2 linked regions of the Struthio camelus genome follow. The protein of the gene in region 2 interacts with the protein of the main gene of each other region in a pairwise test. Links are inferred from orthologs where the notes say so. Each region holds a gene or a part of one and is shown on either strand. Other genes may lie near its edges. The genes, in order: CDK18 and CCNK.

What was found.
Region 1: the proteins of CCNK (region 2) and CDK18 interact in binary tests that used the Homo sapiens proteins (3 or more experiments, as listed by UniProt). The two-hybrid records come from large-scale screens. The link is inferred for Struthio camelus from reciprocal best matches to the Homo sapiens genes CCNK and CDK18.

Annotation. Positions count from the first base shown.
Region 1 is NC_090965.1:7,313,931-7,323,269, reverse strand, and holds the start of CDK18 (cyclin-dependent kinase 18), read right to left. Parts: upstream 3,386-9,339; 5' UTR 3,324-3,385; intron 2,140-3,323; exon of another isoform or gene 1,731-2,139; intron 1-1,730. UniProt on the Homo sapiens protein: May play a role in signal transduction cascades in terminally differentiated cells.
Region 2 is NC_090946.1:69,597,023-69,606,118, forward strand, and holds the start of CCNK (cyclin-K), read left to right. Parts: upstream 1-5,715; 5' UTR 5,716-5,829; intron 5,830-6,419; exon of another isoform or gene 6,420-6,567; intron 6,568-6,804; 5' UTR 6,805-7,066; intron 7,067-8,868; 5' UTR 8,869-8,939; coding exon 8,940-9,096. UniProt on the Homo sapiens protein: Regulatory subunit of cyclin-dependent kinases that mediates activation of target kinases.

The sequences.
Region 1 (9,339 bases), on a different chromosome or scaffold from region 2:
ATTCACCCTGACCCTCCCCCGACAGGGCATCCATGCTTTTTTTGTGCATGAGTCTGGGCTCCTGGAAACAAATCTGTGAAATCTGCAAAACCTCCCATTAAAGGGATGTGGTCCTGCCTGAAGAATGGACATCAAAACTGGCACAGAAGTTTTCTGGTATGACAGTGGAAAAAAAGACTAAAAATCAGAGCAAAGGGGACACACACACACACACACACACACACACAGAAGAAACAGTACAGCTTCATGCACAGGGTGCTACCTGGCGATCCAGGTTCCCACCTTCTGTTCCTGCCTCTGCTCCTTCTTTGCTTCAGGCTCTTGGACACATCAGGTCCTATTGATGTGCTTGTGTTTCCTCCAGGGAGGAAAGGATGCTCTAGACTACAAATGCACTTTGAGAGCTAAGTGCCAATCACCAGCACCGATAGTAACTAATCAGTTACCATCAGTGTTGGTCTGGTGTTTGTATCAAAGGAATAGAATTTCAGGATTGTCTTTTCAGACGTTTTTGGTGACCTCTCCACAGATGGGGTGACCCAGAAACCCTGTCACTGCCTCATGAGGCTGGAGGACAAGGCTCAGTTTGCATCTAACCACATGCTCCAGCTCTTTGTGTTAGTGCATGCTGCAGCTCTACATGCTGCCCAATTGCCACTGAAAAGGAAATGAAATCCCATTTTTCTTGCAGGAAGAGGGCACTCACCTTTTTACAAAACTCATCCAGAGGCATGAACTTTCTGCCTGCTGCTTGTTCAAAGCACTTCCCCTCCCCTTTAGGTCCTTTCTCCAACCCCCAGCATGCACATATGTCACACCACTCATTTGGCTGGTGGAGAGCACAAAAAGCCCAATGCCAGCAGCCCCAGGCCTGACCCTGATGCTTCCTCCCTTTCAGAGTTAATGCCACCATTGTGCCCACCAGCCTGCATGCTCATTCCAGTTTGTTTTTGTGCCGAGAAGAGCCAGTCTGCTGAAGCGCAACTGGCACAGGAGCCAGTGCTGGCATAGCAGGGAGACAAGCTCTCAACAGGCTGTCTTGCCTGGGTAGCTCCTTGCCAGTGAGGACGGGAACAGGCATTCTGGGGACAAGTTCTCCACACCCCTAGGAACTTTGTCAGAGCAACAGGCGCACTGGTGAGATGCAGCTGATACCGACAGCCGCAAAAAGTGCAGCGCAAGGAGAACGCCGTGCTTGCAACCAGCCAGCAGAATGACTCCTGCCTGAGCAGGGGAACACACCGGGCAGACACCCTGGTGGCATCCCCCCAGCAAGCAGCCCTGGCAACTTTCACACTGGAGACAGCAGCGTCCTCCCCTTCAGCCTGCCTGCTTCCTTCCCAGACGGTCCCACACTAGAGGTGTGCAAACAGCACACGTTGGACAAGTCGATACTGACAGCAGGGCGGTGGTATAGGGCTGCCTAAACCCCTTTTAGGATGGTTCCACCAAAACATTCAAGGGATCTCATCCACCAGGGAAGGGACCGGTATAAATTCTTGCTGCGCTTGTATAAATCCGATTGTCACCAATACCCTCCCTCACCACATCTCCAACTTCTTCTCTCCCCTCCTCTAACACTTTGTGCCCAAACAGTCCCGAAACCTTCCCTCCGTCCTTCCAAAGGGAGCGACAGCCCCTGCCAAACGGCTGCTGGGGGCAAGGGGGGGGGGGGCAGCCCGGGCCCCTCTCCCGGCTGCACCTTTGCTCTGTTTACACCAGGCACTTACCGGGCCACGGGGGCAGCTCAATCTCCTTCCTCCTTCCTGCCGCAGCGGCGCCGCCGTGCCCAGCCGGGTCCCGGAGAGAAGAGAGGGGCAGCTTCTCCGCGGGGGTGCGGGGCCAGCGCCGGAGCGGTGCCGGAGCGGGAACCGGAGCAGCGCTGCAGCGGCGCCGGTGCCGGTGCCGGTGCCGGAGCGGTGCCGGCAGCTCGCTCGCTCGCTCCGTGCCGCGCTGGCTCCTCCCCAGCGCAGCCGCGGGCAAACAAGCCGCGCTCGGCCCCAGCGCCCTCCCCGCTGGCCCGGGGATGCGCCGGGAGCTGCTGCGGGCTGGAGCCGGCCCTGCTCGCCCTGCGCGGCCGGGCGCCGAGCTGCTCTGCAGGCTGGGGAGCTGCACACGCACGCACGCACACACACACACACACCCCTCCGCACCCTCAGCCGAGAGGTCAGGGGAGTTCCCTCCTGCAGCTCTTCCTACCCGTCCCTGAGGCTGCGGGCGGATGCGGCGGCCCTCGGTTTTGCGCGGGGCGCGCACGGCACCCCGCAGCCTGGGCAGAAGCGGGAGGCTGAGGCCGGCTGGCAGCCCGGCTCTGCCTTCCCCAGCCCGTGGGAAGTGCTAAGGCGCGGGCGGCCCTTGGGCAGCCTCGGAAATTTTGGCCGCTGTGGCTCCAGCAGGGTTGCGCGTTTAGCAGCAGCTTCGCCTTCCGCGCTGCAACTATTTATTGCCTTATACTTAGGCAAGCGTTCTCAGTTTGCCAAAAATAGACCAACCATGGAAATAAATCAGGCTGACTGGAGGTGCCAACATCATCTGTTGAAACTAATTAGTTTCTTATATCCACTGCTATATTAATCCTTGCCCTCCCTCTACAGACCATCCTGTCAGGAGAGTTTTGTAAATTAATGGGATGTTATGCTCAAATCTGAGGGATGTGCAAAAGGTTTTGCGGCTGGGGAAGACAGAGGGATGGTAGCAGGACACCTGTGCAGGGAAGGGACAAAATCCATCTACGCAGGGAATGGGGAAGGGGAACCCTGAGGACACGCAGCAGAGCTGGTGAGGAGGAAGACAGAGGGCAGAAGCTCTCTAGAGGGAAATCCTATCTCAGGAAAGCATGTAGGATGAACTTCCTGCCAGACATCTGAGAATCCACAAGGAAGACTATCCAGAAGACACAAATCTGGGCTTCCTTCGTTCTGCTGCTCGCAGAACTCCTCTTTCCCTTTTCCTTTCTGAATGTGGGAGTCTTGGGAAACTTGCTAACTCTCATTTCTTGTATTAGAATCATCAAGTTTGCTGGAAGACACTTTGAGGAAGAGAGAACTGGTTCCCAGATGGCATTGCAAAAGCATAAAAACTGAGCACCTCGTGGGGGAAAGGGATGTTCTGCCACGCTGTTCAAAACTCCATTTTGTTTGTTCACCTTCACCCTGTCTATAGCAACACTCAGCCAAGACCTGAAGCCCTTAGCAACACTCACCCACTCTGTGCATGGGGTAAAACATTTGACACCAGCTCTCCAGTCAACTCATTTAGCGAGCATGTGAATGTAAGTCTAGTCTGAGCACACAGGCCTGAATAGGCTTTGAACTGCAACTCACCCTCCAGGAGTAGATGTGGGAGTTCACACTTGGGGCACAGTACCCAGCTGGGGACTAACGCAAACTTTGCAGCAGGGCTACGATCCAGTCCTCCGCGACGCTGGGCAAGCCGCCTGTGTCCCACCAACCCACCCCACCTGCAAAACGGGGATCTGCATCCTTCGTTCTGCGGGGCTTGGGGAGGAGCAGCAAAGACCACAGATCCAGAAGCAAAGTGTGAAGGCTGGCTCTCAGCTTCTGTGGAAGGCTGCCCTCCCTTAACCCCTAGTCAATGAGTACCTGGTCATGTGGGCTGGAAAATCAGAGGCAGCTCTGTGTGACGTTAGCCATCACGTTCCCTTTACACCACTGGCTGCAGAAACTGGCACGTTTTCCTTAGCCCAGTGGTCCAGCCAGGCTCTGGCATACCTCTAACTTCCACCCTCATCTGTCTCATCTATTTAGAGCAGGGATGGCTTCGGGTGGAGAGATGTCTCAAACATTTATGCGCAGTTCCCAGCACAGTGCAGCCCTCAGCATAACAACTGCTGCCTCTCGCTCCATACCACAGCTCTGACAGCTGCTCACCTGGCACTATAAGCTCATTTTAATACAGAAAGCAGAGGATAACCCCAGCAAAAGCTGTATCTAGTTAGGTGGAACAAGCCCCAGAACTGGAGATTGACAAAGAAACCAGCTCTGTAAGAGAAAGAGGTGATGTGCAAGGGGAAAGAAGCAGTTGTTACAAGCAATTAGTGGACAGAGACACAAGCTTAGCGGCTGTGTTTCACAAGCTGCTTATTGGTGCGTGATATTCCTCATAAACATAAATTACAATAATCACCACGCCAGGAAGGGATCGCTATAATCCTGATGGGGATGACTTTGAGAGGAGGATGTGGAGAGACAAAGCACTTCGCTGGTACAGCCAGAAAAGGAGAGATTCCTGTGCCTGTGCGTTCACAGACACAACGGGAAAGGAGCCACATTACACGGCGTGATAGGTGTTCACAAGCATGCGGGTCAAAAACACAGTACATCTCCCCAGCAGACTCTAGCACAGTACTAACTAGACTCTACACAGTGTAATGGGGCTGCGTCCGTTCCACCAATAATAGCCCAAAGCAAACTGTCCCTTAATGTGTGCTCTTTGAAGGGCAACATGGTCTGAGGTCACTGGTGTTGAACTTGGCACCCACCAGTGGATGCCTCTGCAATACTGAGCAGTGCATTTGCAAGGCAATGCCTGCAGGGCATTTTTCAAATGTGCCAACTTCATGGCTGAGCAGAAGACAGATATGCTTGGGGTTTTTTTGCAAGATTTTCTGGAATTACTCTGTTTTTGCAGGGTTATTTTTTTCCTTTTTGCATTGTCACAGTGAAATTGCACAGCTTCATGGACTTTCGGGGGAAATCTGGGGTGAAGATGGGCTCACTGCAGTCAGGAGTATTTTGCAGAAAATGGATCTGGCTGGGAAACTGTAAGACTTTGCAGAAGTCCTTGGTTGTGATCACCTCAGCTCATGCTGGGGGATACTTTGCTCAGCAAACCCCTGCCCTCCTCCACTTACGCAGTTCCTAGCATGTCGCTTGCCTGGTGCAGTCAGAGGACTGCTGGAATGCAGCCCACAGCTGCTCTCCCTTTTTGATATCACTTGCATCTCTTAAAGATACAGGCCTTGCTTCCTCACCCCTGCGCCTGTCTGTGGTCACCTTCCTGCAAAGAGAATCTCACCCCAACTGCACATTTGTTTGGGAGAGAAGAGAAGGAGGAGGTGTGAAAGAGAGAAGGCTACAGCAAGCAGAGACAGAGAATTGCATGTTAGTGTCTGTCTCTACCCAAACAGGCACGGCAGGTTGGATCCTATCCCCGAGTGGGGCTGTGATGCACATAAGCAAGGATGATGGCTCTGACCTGGTCATGCCATTGGCACAGTCCTAGGACTCCTCACAAGTTACAAACGCAATTTACACCTATAGTTGCCTGCGCAGCTTCCGCAAGGCAGACATCCTTTTCAACAGAGAGGAACACATCCATCTTCTCTGTAGGAGGAATCCTGTTTCTGCTCTCGAGCCACAACATCACTCACCCTCCTCACCTCTGCTGAAGAGCCACCCCTGAGACAGAGCAGCAAGTGCTGCTGAGCTGGGCCACTTTGTTAAGCCAGAGGGAAATGTTACCTCTGTTTTGTACACTGCAAGCAGCATGCAAGCTAGAGAGTATTTTCCAAAAGCAGCAGGGAAGGCTGCAGCATCCTGAGTAGCATTTTAATCACAGACCCAAGGGGATTGCTAGGGCTGCTCTTCTCCAGAACACTCTCCGTCAGCAAACACCTCTGCAGAGATGTGAGAAAGAGCACGGAGGGGTGAGTGCAGCCTCGGGGTGGTGGGGAGCACAATCCCACACTGAGGGAGCTGGTCCCAGAGGTACGGCCAGCACGAGGGCAAGCCCAGGGTGTGCACACCTTGTCCTCGTGCAAACTTGTCCGAGGAGGGGGCTCTGGGAGCACAGCATGGAGCTAGGGCCAGTGCAGCGCCTGTGCTGTAAAAAAATCCTCTGCCTCATGTATGTTCTCCATGTGGCTTCTAGCCAGACACATTAAAACCTCCCCTGCTCTCCCTTGCAGGGCTGAGGCCCCATCGGGGACACTCCATCCAGCCCTCGGCACCCAGCATCAGCAGAGAGGGAGGAAAGTGCCAAGGCTAGCTGCATGAACAGCCAGCGGGCTGGGAAACCTGCCTTAGGAGGAGCCTGAGGGAGTTCAGGCTGTTTAGCCTAAAGGGCAAAAAGCTGAGCAGCAGTGACAGCAGTCTTCAGATGGATTCAAGTGGAAAGGAGCAACCTGTCCTTGGTGACTTCAGTAGGGAGTGCCCATTGCGGACAGGTATAAGAATCTGCAGTTTTTGTTACAAGCTGTTTAGCCCTCATTTAATACCTTCCCCCAGACTGGAGGCAGCCCTGCCCGCCTGTCGCAAGAAGTTATACGCTCCCTGTGCAGTGACCTGCGGAGAGACAGGAGCTCACCTACGCCGTTGCCAAGCCAGGAGGCATCGAGTCAAAGCCAAAGCTGAAGCTGTTCGGATGTGCTTAGCAGGGAGCTGCATGGAGCGAAGGTGCCAAAACTGACCAAGCGATGAAGTGCCAGACCCAATAAGACCCAGTTTAAAAAGATACGACTGCTGAACAGTGCTTCGCCCAGTAGGCATTACTGTCTGCCTAGAGAAAGGTTCAGAGCTCCAATTTGCAACCTAGTCCTCTCACCACTCATTAAAGGCCAGGCAATCCTAATAAATATAGAAAGTATATTAGTGATGACCAAGACTGGAGCGTTAGAGAAACAGCAACATGAATGTGCTTGCCTCGTCTATGAAACACAGGTCAGCTCCAGGGGGATTTCACCTGTTTTCCGCCTGTAGCTCTTCTGGCCTCATTCCCCTGCCACACAGAGCATCCCTCCACATCCCCAGATGCTCATAGCGTGTTTTCTCCACTACTAAACTCACGTGGGCACGCATGTGTCCTGCTTCAAGGCAAGTGGCTGTGTGCAGGTCCGCAGGGAATATTTTACAGTCACTGCATCCAGGCAGCAATTCCCTTTCCCATTGCCCTGACATTCAATAGTAGTGCAGGCACCGAGTCATGGAAAGAAAATGTGTTCAGTCCCTCCCCTGCCCATGGACAGTTCTCCCTTGTGCACGCGCAGGCATGTGGAAATCATTGCCCAGAGAGCAGTGCTGCATTTCAGCAACCATCAGAGCGCTTTAGTTTAAAGGCTGGCTGTTAAAACAAGGAAAACTGGCAAATGGCCCCTGTGTTAAAGGGCCCAGTCCGACACGTCCGGATCTGCTTTTACGGAGTGCTGGAGAGGCCACATGAAAACACTTCTGTCATCTGGAGGGTGGCTGCTACAGCACCACAAGGCTCAGTGTGTGCATGCCACTCTGCATAGTGTTAACAAGGGGTGTAACTGCTCTAGGTCACCCCGTCTAAGAGTCACCCCCATAAATTGCACCTCTGTTGGGCATCTGCAACTCCACTGACTCCGGGAACGTAAATGGGCAAGACAAAAGGAATATTGTTATTCCCGTTTTACAGATAGGTGAACTGAGGTATAGGAGAAAGACAGACAAGTTCCGATAGCCTTGTTAATGCACACTAGCGCTGATTCCAACTGCTAAGAGAGCTACCTCAAGGTCACACTGCAAAGCTCCGACAACATCCATAATCGAGCCCAGACAAACTGCAGTCTACTCTTGTCACACACACGAGAAATGAATCCATTAACTCCCTTAAAAGACCAATCACCCTGAAACTAAAGGAGGTAAAAATCACTGCAAAAGTTAATGTGCTGCATGCTTCACACAAAATAAAGTCACTATCCACAAAGTATAGTTGGCCAAAATACAGCTGACCATGGCAACCAGCAAGCCAATTGCAAACTGGTGAATCCCAGCAGCAGCTCCTCTTAATTTTGCTCATGGAGCATCACCATAACAACGGATGCACCAATCCAGAGACTCACGCACTTAGCAACCAGAAGCTGCCAAATTATGAAAAAGTAAAAATTATGCACAAAGTATTTCCTCCAGGATCCTACTGTAGATGTATTCCATTGCAAAACTGCATGCAGCATGGTGGACATAGCCAGAGAAATGCACAAGGAGAGTATGATGAACACTTCTCCTCCAGTGAGTAGCTTTGGATCAAAAGCATCCACCGCCCTGCAGGCAGCAGGCATTACTAGAAGGTAAGTAAGTTTGGCCTTTGGTTTTCACATTTCGCTCAGGGCTGCGTGTGCCCTCCTGTCTATTACACAGCAGAGAGGGAAAGCCTTAAAGCAGGCACAAGGCCAACACGCAGAACTGGAGCTGATGGCCACATAACAACACTTAGGCCTTGCACTGGCCTCCTCAACTGTCCAGGTGGGTTTAGGAGGTGCTTCTTAGAGGTCAAAGCATCTTAGCTTCACAGAGACACTCTGCTGGGAGAGACTGCTGTGTTTCTAAAGCAACTTAATGCCAGCACCAAAGGAGTTTGCTCCCACGAGTGGACCTTGTCCCTCATGATATGGTGTGAAGCAAGAGCAGAAAGGAGATAAGTTACTTTTTCAGGGAACAATCCATCTCTCTCCCCACTGACTCACTGACAAGCTTCCCTTTTTCCAAGGCAGTTCACAGGGCGAGCAGTATGCTGAACAATCCTCTCTACTGGAAAGAGATGAGTAAGTACCCCAAGCAGCTTAAATCTCTGCTTCCTTCTTGGGAGTGAGGAATGCTGGGGTTAAAGTACTGTAGGGGAATGTGCCTGGGCAAACAACAGATCAAACGCTTCTCTTGTTCAGTGTACACCAGAAATACCAAAGTGTTTGGCGTTTCCTGCCAAGAGAAAGTGGGAGTCCCTACTCAGACCGAGACCAGCCATACAAGAAACACCCAATGGTCAAGAAGAGCATCAGAAGTGGCTTTCCAGCCCAAACCAACAAGAGGCCTATTAGCAGGGTGCAATCATCTGGCCTAGGCAGTGCAGGAGGTCTGGCTGGAGAATAATGACTCTTCCTAGCCTTATGCCATAGGAATGGATGGATGGAAAGGGAGGAGCCATGTCAGCAGGCTGGCACGATTCAGCAAGAACAGCTTGGGTGGCACCGGAAAGGGACTTCCTCACTGCTGACCGACAGCCTCAGCATGTTAAGCCAGGATTCGATGCTTACCACTCAGTCTGCTAGCTATTTTCAGCCTAAATGAGGGATCCAACCCAGCTCTGGCTTCCCAAAACACTGATGCAGGCAGAAACTTTAGCAGGCATGAGAGGGATGATGTATGTCAAGAGAACACTTCCAAAAGAGAAAGCCAAGAGAGGGTTTGGTCTGTAGGACAGCAGAACTGCACGCGCATGACGGACACAGAGCCGAGCATGCCTGAGAGAATGGGGGCGGCAGGGATATGACCAAAACCACGTTTGGCTTAGCTGGCAGTGGAATGGGTATGGTCCCGTGTTCACACACGTGCAAGTGTTCACACGTGCCAGCCTAGCTCA
Region 2 (9,096 bases):
AGGTCCTACATCCAGGGAGAATTAATCCCATACACCAGCACATGGTGGAGGCCAAGGAACTGGAAGGCAGCTTTGGAGAGAAGGAGCTGTGGGTCCTGGTGGACAAGGAGTTGAACACGAGCCAGTAACACATCCTTGTGGCAAAGACAACCAACAGCCTCTCTGGTCGCATCAGTAAGAGTTTTGCCAGCAGGCTGAGGGAGTCAATTATTCCCTGCTACTCAGCACTAGTGAGACTACACCTAGAGTGCCATGTTCTGAGCTCCCCAGTACAAAGAGGGCGTGGACATACTGGACCAGGTCCAGCGAAGATCCACAAAGATGATTAAGGGATTGGAGCATCTGTCATACAAGGAGAGACTGAGAGAACAGGGATTGCTCAGCCTGGAGAAGAGAAGGCTCAGTGGGATATTATCAACGTGCATAAATATCTGAAGGGGGGGGGGGGGGGGCAGAGGAGGGTGACGGAGAATAAAGCAAGCCAGACTTTTCTTAGTAGTTCCCAGTAAGAGGGCAACAGGCAATGAGCACTAACTGAAATACAGGAAATCCCATTTAAATATGAGAAATCTTTTACTGTATAGATGATTGAACACTGGAACAGGTTACCCAGAGAGGCTGTGGAGTCTCCATCCTTAGAGATATTCAAAATCCAACTGGACAAGGTCCTGAGCAATCTGCTTTAATCAACCCTGCTTTCAGGAGGGGTTGGACTAGACAATCTCCAGAGTTGCCTTCCAACCCCAACCATTCTGTGACACCTCTTAAGGGCACCCCTTTAGACAACTAAGGTGTAAATACAGTCTTTCTTTCTGCCTACATGAACAGATAGTCTAACAAATAGTAAATAAAATACTATGTACTACTTTTGGTGTGCAGTTCTTCTCCCGAATATTTGGAATGCTCCCAGTCTGCAGAAATAGTATTTCTCAGTCATCTTTTAACCAAAGAACTTATTCATGAAAAAAGAAATTCTTAGACCACCTTGGACAGCGCTGTCTTTCTTAAAGAGAAGTTTTCACACATGATAAAGCTCGGAATTTTTGCAATCTGTTCACAGATCAACTTCTGACCATGGGTTGGGAACTTTACTTGCTGACTGGAAGAATTAAGGTTCTGGTAAAACTTCTATTTTTAAAAAAAACTTGAAAAAGCGAAATAAATAAAGGGAACAATACGAACATCTCTCCAGGTAAACATTTCTATACATTCTATACTTGTGCTCACATACATTCACAACATAACTGCAGACACCAAGACACTAGAGACTTAAATTACCTACAGGCAAATTTGCAAAACTGTATCTTTCAGAACTCTTCTTTTGAAGTATTTTAATAGAAACCAAAAACCTGAAAGTATCTGAAGCTATTATGTGGCTACAGCTATTAAGCTTTGTCATCAGGTAAGGGTAACTAACAAATGTTTCCAGGACTAGGCACAAAGATAACCACACTTGTTCCAACCCAGAGTTATTCAAGGTCTTTCCCCACACCACCACCCACTCTTGAGTGCTTCACTGGGGCAGGAAACAGAGTGCACCTTGGTTACCATTTATTCCCCTGCAGCCCTTCCCCATAATTCATATCCTCTTAAATTATCATCAATATAGGCACGCTGAGTGAGATCCAGCACATGGGAAGTACTGGACCTATGATGCAGGTTCCTTGGAAGAGGAAACCCACAGAAGATATCCTGTTTCCACTCTGCTAAAATAACAGTACATGAAGACTTGGGCACTAGTGTTATAAAGCATTAAAAATTTTCAAAGGAAGATTCTGCTATTTCTATTAGCTGCTTATTAAGACATACATGCAATGTTTGCACTGAAAGAGTTTTAATTTTTTGGGGAGTTGCATATTTCCATCGCTATCATACCCTACAATGTATTTGCTCTCATGCCCTACATATTATATAACATATAATATACATATAAAAATGTATGTGTATATATAATTTATAAAATATATTTTTAAAAAAATCTAGAAATTGACCTACATGCAAAAGAACCAAAGTGCTAGCACAAGAGCCCCAGAGATGCACTCTCCTTTCAGGCGCAGGTTGCTGGCACTCTAGCAGAAACAACTGCAAAGCAGCTAATTATAGCTGGTACATTTACAGTCCATCTTCAGTTACAAAGACAGTTTTGGCCTACATTAACACATTGGCTGAAAGCCATGGTAGTTCAAGCACAGTCATTCAGTCACTTCCAGCAGAGGTCCTTCAGAAATATTGAGAAGACATCAGAGAGTAAAACATAACAGGAAGTAGATACTAATCTGTCATCCCATGCATTTGACAGGGTTTAACAGCCTTGGGCTCAAAAATCCTTCTGAAATGTAGAAGAATCAAATTAGAAGTTCCATTTTCTTTTTTATTAGGACATCAGCAGCTAGAGGCTCAGAAACTCACCTTCCACCTTAACAGTGTATCACCTAGACCTGGCCAACTTTGAGGCATCTAAACACCTGTTCCCACGTATTCACTGGAGATAAAACTGAACTCAAAGTCACTCACATCTCAACACGCTTCAAAGAAAGACAACATGGAATTTTTCCTGCATCTGACAGATACTCTGCTCTAACCTGCATAACAGATCCCAGAAATGAAAACAAGATTTTAGTGCTACCTCTTCAGCATTCCAAAGAGTAAGGTACAGAAAAGTTAGCAGCAGAACTGCTGAACAGCATAGGAAAAGGGGTAAAGGACAGACAGGAACAGAACAACTGGAATAGTCAGTTGGTGGAAGAGATGTAGGGAAGAGCCAATGTAGGACAGAGGAGCTAAAAACAGAAAAAGGGAGCAAAGAAGGTTATGGCAGAGGAAGGGCAAGAGCAAGAACGTAAAGCAATGTAAAAATACTCGAGCACTAAACTTGTTTTTAATTACTACAATATAAGCTTCTTCACAGACTAAAACAGACAACACTAATGGGGCACTTTTACGGTAATATCAAAAACTCCTGCTGTGCTTTATTTATAGATTTGACTGGTCCTTTCACATAGTTTACACTTCATTTTTGCCTAAGATATTTTTAAACCTCTGAAATCAGATCTAGGAAGCTGAAGTACCTCTAAACTTAGTTGACAAAGGACAGTCAGAACTAAGTTCAGAATCCCGTTTACTGTACCATCAGTAAACAGAAGCTGTACCATCATAGGTTCACTAATATTATCGCAAGTCTAAAGCATCTGGAAAAAAGGTAAGTTAGCACTACTGCTGTACGCGCTGCACGCAACTACTCCGAAAAGAGCAAACTGTATTAAACCATTTCGATTTTAGGTGAAAGAAAAAATATATCATAAAAATATTACTATGATAAACAGCCAAGCCATAGAGTAATATCAAAAATAGTTACTAAAATTAGCTCAATGTTTATTTGATCCACTTATAAATTCCACCTATTTTACCAAATTCAGCTAGTTATCGGGAAGCAACTTCCAAAGACATTGAGTCTTATAATTAGAATCAAAGAACACTGTCTTGACAATACTTTGACCTGGCATGCTCAAAACACTCTTAAAACTACTAGAAAAGTAGGAAATGCGATCACTAGAGAGTCCGACATTATTTCTTTCACTTCTCTTGAACCTGATTAAATACTAAAACCAGAACTGCCTCAAATTAAGTATAAACTTCTGGTAAGAAACTCTTATATGGTAAATAACACAAAATGCTAAAGGGGTAAAGAAGAGTGGCAATATATAAGGCATCCAAAGACATGCTTTTGTATGTCAAACACTCTCACTTACCAGCTTGCTAATCCTGAACTGATTAATACCTAAAAATATGAGTTTTTTTCCCCGTTGTTCCACTGAAGCTTACTGTCTTCAGCAGGAGGAATGCTTCTTACTGTAAACACTTCCCTGAAGATCAGCGAAAGAGAGTTTATTAGCTGCCACACAGGCAACAGTTCAGGCTCTCTCTCTCAACGATTAATAACCTTTCCACATCCCTTATGAACCAGCTCCTTAGACATCTCTTTGACCAGAAGAGTAAAAATATTTACTCTGTACGAAAAAAAAAAAGCTGAAAACAATAAATAGACAGGCTAAACTCCCACTACTTTGCCATCCTACTCTTGTCATTTCATTTTTTACTTGAGTTTAGCTCTTTCTGAAGACTCCCACATAGTTTTTTCCAAATTCCTTTCTTTAAAGTAAAAAGAATGAAAACTGATGCACTCTCTTTTTATTCATATATTTTTAAATATAGTCTTCACTTATAAAATATTAATCTCACTTTATAAATCTAAAACTCACAACTGAGAATCAAGCAAGTCACCCTGGTTCAGACATCAGGGCACAGACAGAACTTGCAAAACAGCCCAGGCCTCCAAAAAGACTTGTTGCTTAACACACCGGCATCATATGTCCTACCTTACTTTACCAAGTGCTGAACATTATGATGTTTTGGTAGCAAAAATACAGATCCCCTGAGATCTCTAATACCCTCAGACTGTCTCTTTCTTTTAAAGAATCACCACCAAAACACTCATCTTCTGCAAAATACCCAATACATCAGTTGCACTGTATGAGCAGTATCATTATGGTGAAATATTATACCTAAGTTCATTGCATTAATTACAATAAAAATGTCACGAAGACGTTCACTTTTCTATACAGAGGGACATAATGGGTTTTATTTTTAAAGTATGTACAATATCACAACTAGAAGCCTATTTAAAAATTTAGATCCAACTTCGGCATATAGCTCAGACCATCCCTAACTGGAAACAGCAATATACAGATTACAAATTATTTCAGGGCTTAAGCTTCTCCCTCCCTTGCCAAGACCCTAGATCTATCTGTACGGGTGCCATGACAAGGATGTATTTTTCAGATTTTATTTCAACACATACTTCAATCCAGCTAGCTAAACATAACTGAAACCTCCATTAAAGTGAAAGCTAGCATGCTTGAATCTTTACCATATTAAATAACCTAACTGAGCACAAATATCTGAAAATACCGTCCTCTTTTGGCCCATCATGCTATTCTCTCTAACAACTTCTACACCTGCTTACTATTTTATACATAAACAAGATATCAGACATGTAGAACGCTACAGCCTCTTACTCATGTACAGTAGTTTCAAAATGCTTTATTTTGAACTGCCACTCTAACGTAGAGGTTAGGAAATTGTTCAGAACTAGAGACACATGCAAAATACAGCCTCAACTTAAGCAACTCTATACAAGTCCTGCTCCGAGTAGGAAAGGAAGATGAGGAACAGTTTCAATACAAGTTCTGTTTCAGCAACTTCTGTAGTAATATGGAGAGGTTGCAAAACCCAGGCTGTTGCAGGAGTAATTCCCACTCAGATAAGCAGTTTGAATCATATTTGGCCTAAATGTAAAACGTTTATTCTAATTTTAAGTCACTTTTTTTCCTATTAGGTTTAGCCCCTTTATAAAAGCAAGTTCCAGATTGCGTGAGAAAAAGAAACAAAATAGAGTGCTCTTTCACTGCCATGGAAAGGCACTAAAGAATCGCATACCAGCAGAACTGTTACTGAGCCAGATCCTGAGAACTGGAGGTATGGGAGGCTTTGGAAAGCTAGAGAAGTAGGAGTAGCGAGTATTCAAAATGTGTCACATGTAAAAAAAGGAATTACATCATGGAGAAAGCAGTTTTAAGCCATTTGTTTAACTCCGCTTTCTTATCAACGCCTGGGGGATGGGACAAGGGAAACGAGCATTAAGAAGTGAATGCCACTGCCTCAACTCACTCTGAAATCACGCCGCTCGGGTTTAAACAAAACCCACCCACGTCGGAGCAGAAGAGCAAACAGGCAGTGGGCCGCGGAGAGCACGCCAATCTCCGCTGGCAAGTAAGTGGGAGAGAGAAACAGGATGACGAGTGGGAGCCGCGAGGCGGAGCGGCGTCACCCCGCTCCCCGCGGCGGGCGGCACGGAGGCTGCCTCGCCCCCGACGGGCGGGCCGGCCGGCCGGCCGGTGCTGCCCCGCGAGCGAGGGGGGGGCGCGGCGCGTGGGCGCGCGGCGGCTAACGGCCGGCTAACGGCCGCCCGCGAGGGCGCGAGTGGGCGCCCAGCCTGCCCGCCACGGCGAGGCGGGGGCTGCCACGGAGCCGAGCGCGCGGGGCAGGGGGGAAACGCCGCGGGGAGAGCGCCTGGGGACAGCGCCGTGACGGGAGCGAAGGGGGCGGCGAGGCCTGGGCCGGCGCTGCGCGCCCCGCGGCGGGGAGGAGGGTGTCCGGAAAGAGTTGCGCGTCCCACAGGAAGGGGAAGCGGCGGGGCGGGCGGCGGGGCGAGGTTCCTCCGGGGGCCGAGGGAAGGCGCCGCTCCCCGCCGGGAGGGGGTCCGGGCCGGGGGCAACGGGATTGGGGCGGGGGGGAGTTGGTGGCCAGCGCTGGCCTCCCACTCAGCGGGCGGGGGGGCGCCGGGCGGGGCCCCGCCTTACCTCCCGCCCGGCGGCGGCTGTGCCTCGCCCGCTGCGAGCGGCGCCGAAGCCGAGCTCCTCTCACCGGACACCGCTGCCGGGGGCGGGCGGCGGCGGCCGAGCTAGCCCGAGCCCCGCACTCCCAGCGCCCGGCCCCGCCCGCGGCCCCGCCCCGCCCTCCGCCGCCGCCATTGGCCCAGCCGGGCCGACAAGGAAGACCCCGCCCCCTCCGAGGCCCGTAGCGGCCAATCCCCAGCGACCACCCCTTCGCCTTCGCTACCGGTCTTGGAAAAGGGCATGGCTGCTTCCCTCCCATTGGCTGCAGTTTAATCCGTGCCTCCGGCTTCTTACTGGCTGGCTCGGCTTGCAATCTTCTCGCTCCTGCTTTCTGATTGGTCATTCTAAGGCTACGGGAGCGCGTCGCGTGCCTCCTCCTCGAGCTTCGCAGACGCTGAAGGAGACGGGATTGGCTGCGGGGGCTGCTGGCTCTCATTGGCCGTTAGACGGCAGCGGCTCGGCGCTTGCGCGCTATGCCCTCGTGACGTCGGCGTGATGACGCAGAGAGCGGCCTGGCCTGGTTCCCAAGATGGCGGCGCGCAGGGAGCGGAGGCCGCGCTGTCGTTAGTGGCTCTGCGCTCCTGTGGGGTTTCCTCTCCTGTGCGTGGCCTGTGAGTGCGTTACGGGGCGCGGGGGGGGGGGCACCGGGGCGGCCCGCCTTCTCCGCGCCGTGGCCTGGGGGGCCTGGCTGGGGAGGAAGAGAAAGCAACGGGGAGGCTGCAGTGTCTGGCCGGGACAGGGAGCGAGCGCCCGCCCGGGCTCCGGAGGCCTCGTCTGCGGCGGGAGGAGCACCGGGGGGGCCGGGAGGAGCTGCCCCCACCCGGCCTGGGGGCTGCCGAGGCTGGGCGCTGTCAACTAGTTTGTTCAGAGAAGAAGAACAGAACAAAAAAAAAACTGAATCTTCTCTCTAAAGTCTTTTCACCTTTACGAGGTGGTAAAGAAAAATCTCAGGCCCCGTGTTATTTTGCTTTTGATTATTGTGGTCTTAATTGGAGAGTTTGAGGTGATTGCTTGGAATTCGCCTTTAGGGGTTTTAATATTTTGCCTGTTTGTTTTTTACAGATTTTCATTTGGGGATGGTTTTAGTGCTCATAAAAGCAGCTCTCTCGTTGCTTTTCAGAAAGGGAGTTTTAATGTTAGTTGAGCTTTAAACTACTTAGAACTTTAAGCATCAAAACGAACTTTGAAGAAAATGGTCTCCAAAACTTGCGGAAATAATACTTGATAATGGCAATGGGAGCGCGTGGTGATGCCACTGAACTGTTTTGCTGACTCTAGAAATGCTTTCAAGTAGCTATTCACTTATTTGTGACAGAGGTTGGGTTGATCTGTCACTAGTAAGACAGTGGAGGGTCTCCATATGTGAATACGGAGCAAAGGTGGTTTCCTTTGTTCTGAAAAAGAGAAACTTTCTGAAGGTAGAGAAAGGTATTTATTGTAGGCATAGGTATTCTGACTGTTCATGTAGTTTTCTTTTACTTTTGCGAGGGAAACATTTGGAAAATTAAGCTTAGCTTAATTTTAACAGCTTTACATTTGAGTCTTTCTTGGATTGTTATGCTTAGAGCAGTAAATTATATCGTCTGTTAATTAACATTCCCTACAGGAACCTTTGCAGGTGACTACAGTAGTTTGTGAGTAGTATCTCTAGTTTATTGAATTGCAGTAAAATAGTCTTATCCCTGTTTTCTAGTCTGAAAGAGATAAAGGTGCGAAGACAGTCTTCATTCTCTCTTTTAAGTGAGACATACGTGAACATCGGTCATAACCTAAATGCCAACAAGTTATCTGTGGAGCTGTATGCTGTCAATATAGATTTGTGATGTACAAGTCAGCACAGGAAAATAACATACTAATTGAGTGTAATCAGTTGCCTCATTTTGGAGGTGGTTTTAGATGGCACAGTACCATACAGACTCACATTACTGGTCTTGATCTTTATTTTTTTTCCTTTTTTTTCTTTAAATAACATACACACACAATTTACAAAGCTTTATGCCGAATTATTGCCACCATCTTACCACCCAGATATATCCAAGAGATCAACTATGTGTTTAAATTGCCATTCAGCCGGACCTAATGGATGGGTTTCTTAGTTATTGAACAATGGTCTGAATTAAAATTTTATTTTTTTACCACTTCAAATCTTGCTGTTACCATCATTGAATTGTTTTTCCTTATTTTGTGGACAAAGTAAGTGAAATTTGTACTGCTAAAAATAAGTGTTTTTAATAGTGTACTTTTGAATTTCTTTATTAAAGGGTTACTATCAAAGATGACCTTTGTTCTTTGAATTGAATTCCCAATATATGGGGGAGATAAGGGAGAGGTTAAGTATGACTTGTCTTTGAGAAGGGATAAAAAAGTTCCCTTTCTGGTATTTTTAAAGACATATGTTTTCCTTTTCTTAAAGGTTCTAGAGCTACTACCCGAAGACTTTCTTTTGAAAACTTAACAAGCAAGAACACAATTCTATTTTAATAAATGAAGGAGAATAAAGAAAATTCCAGTCCTTCTGTAAACTTGGCAAACCTGGACCATACAAAGCCATGCTGGTATTGGGATAAGAAAGATTTGGCACATACACCTTCGCAGCTAGAAGGGCTGGATCCAGCTACGGAAGCAAGATACCGCAGGGAGG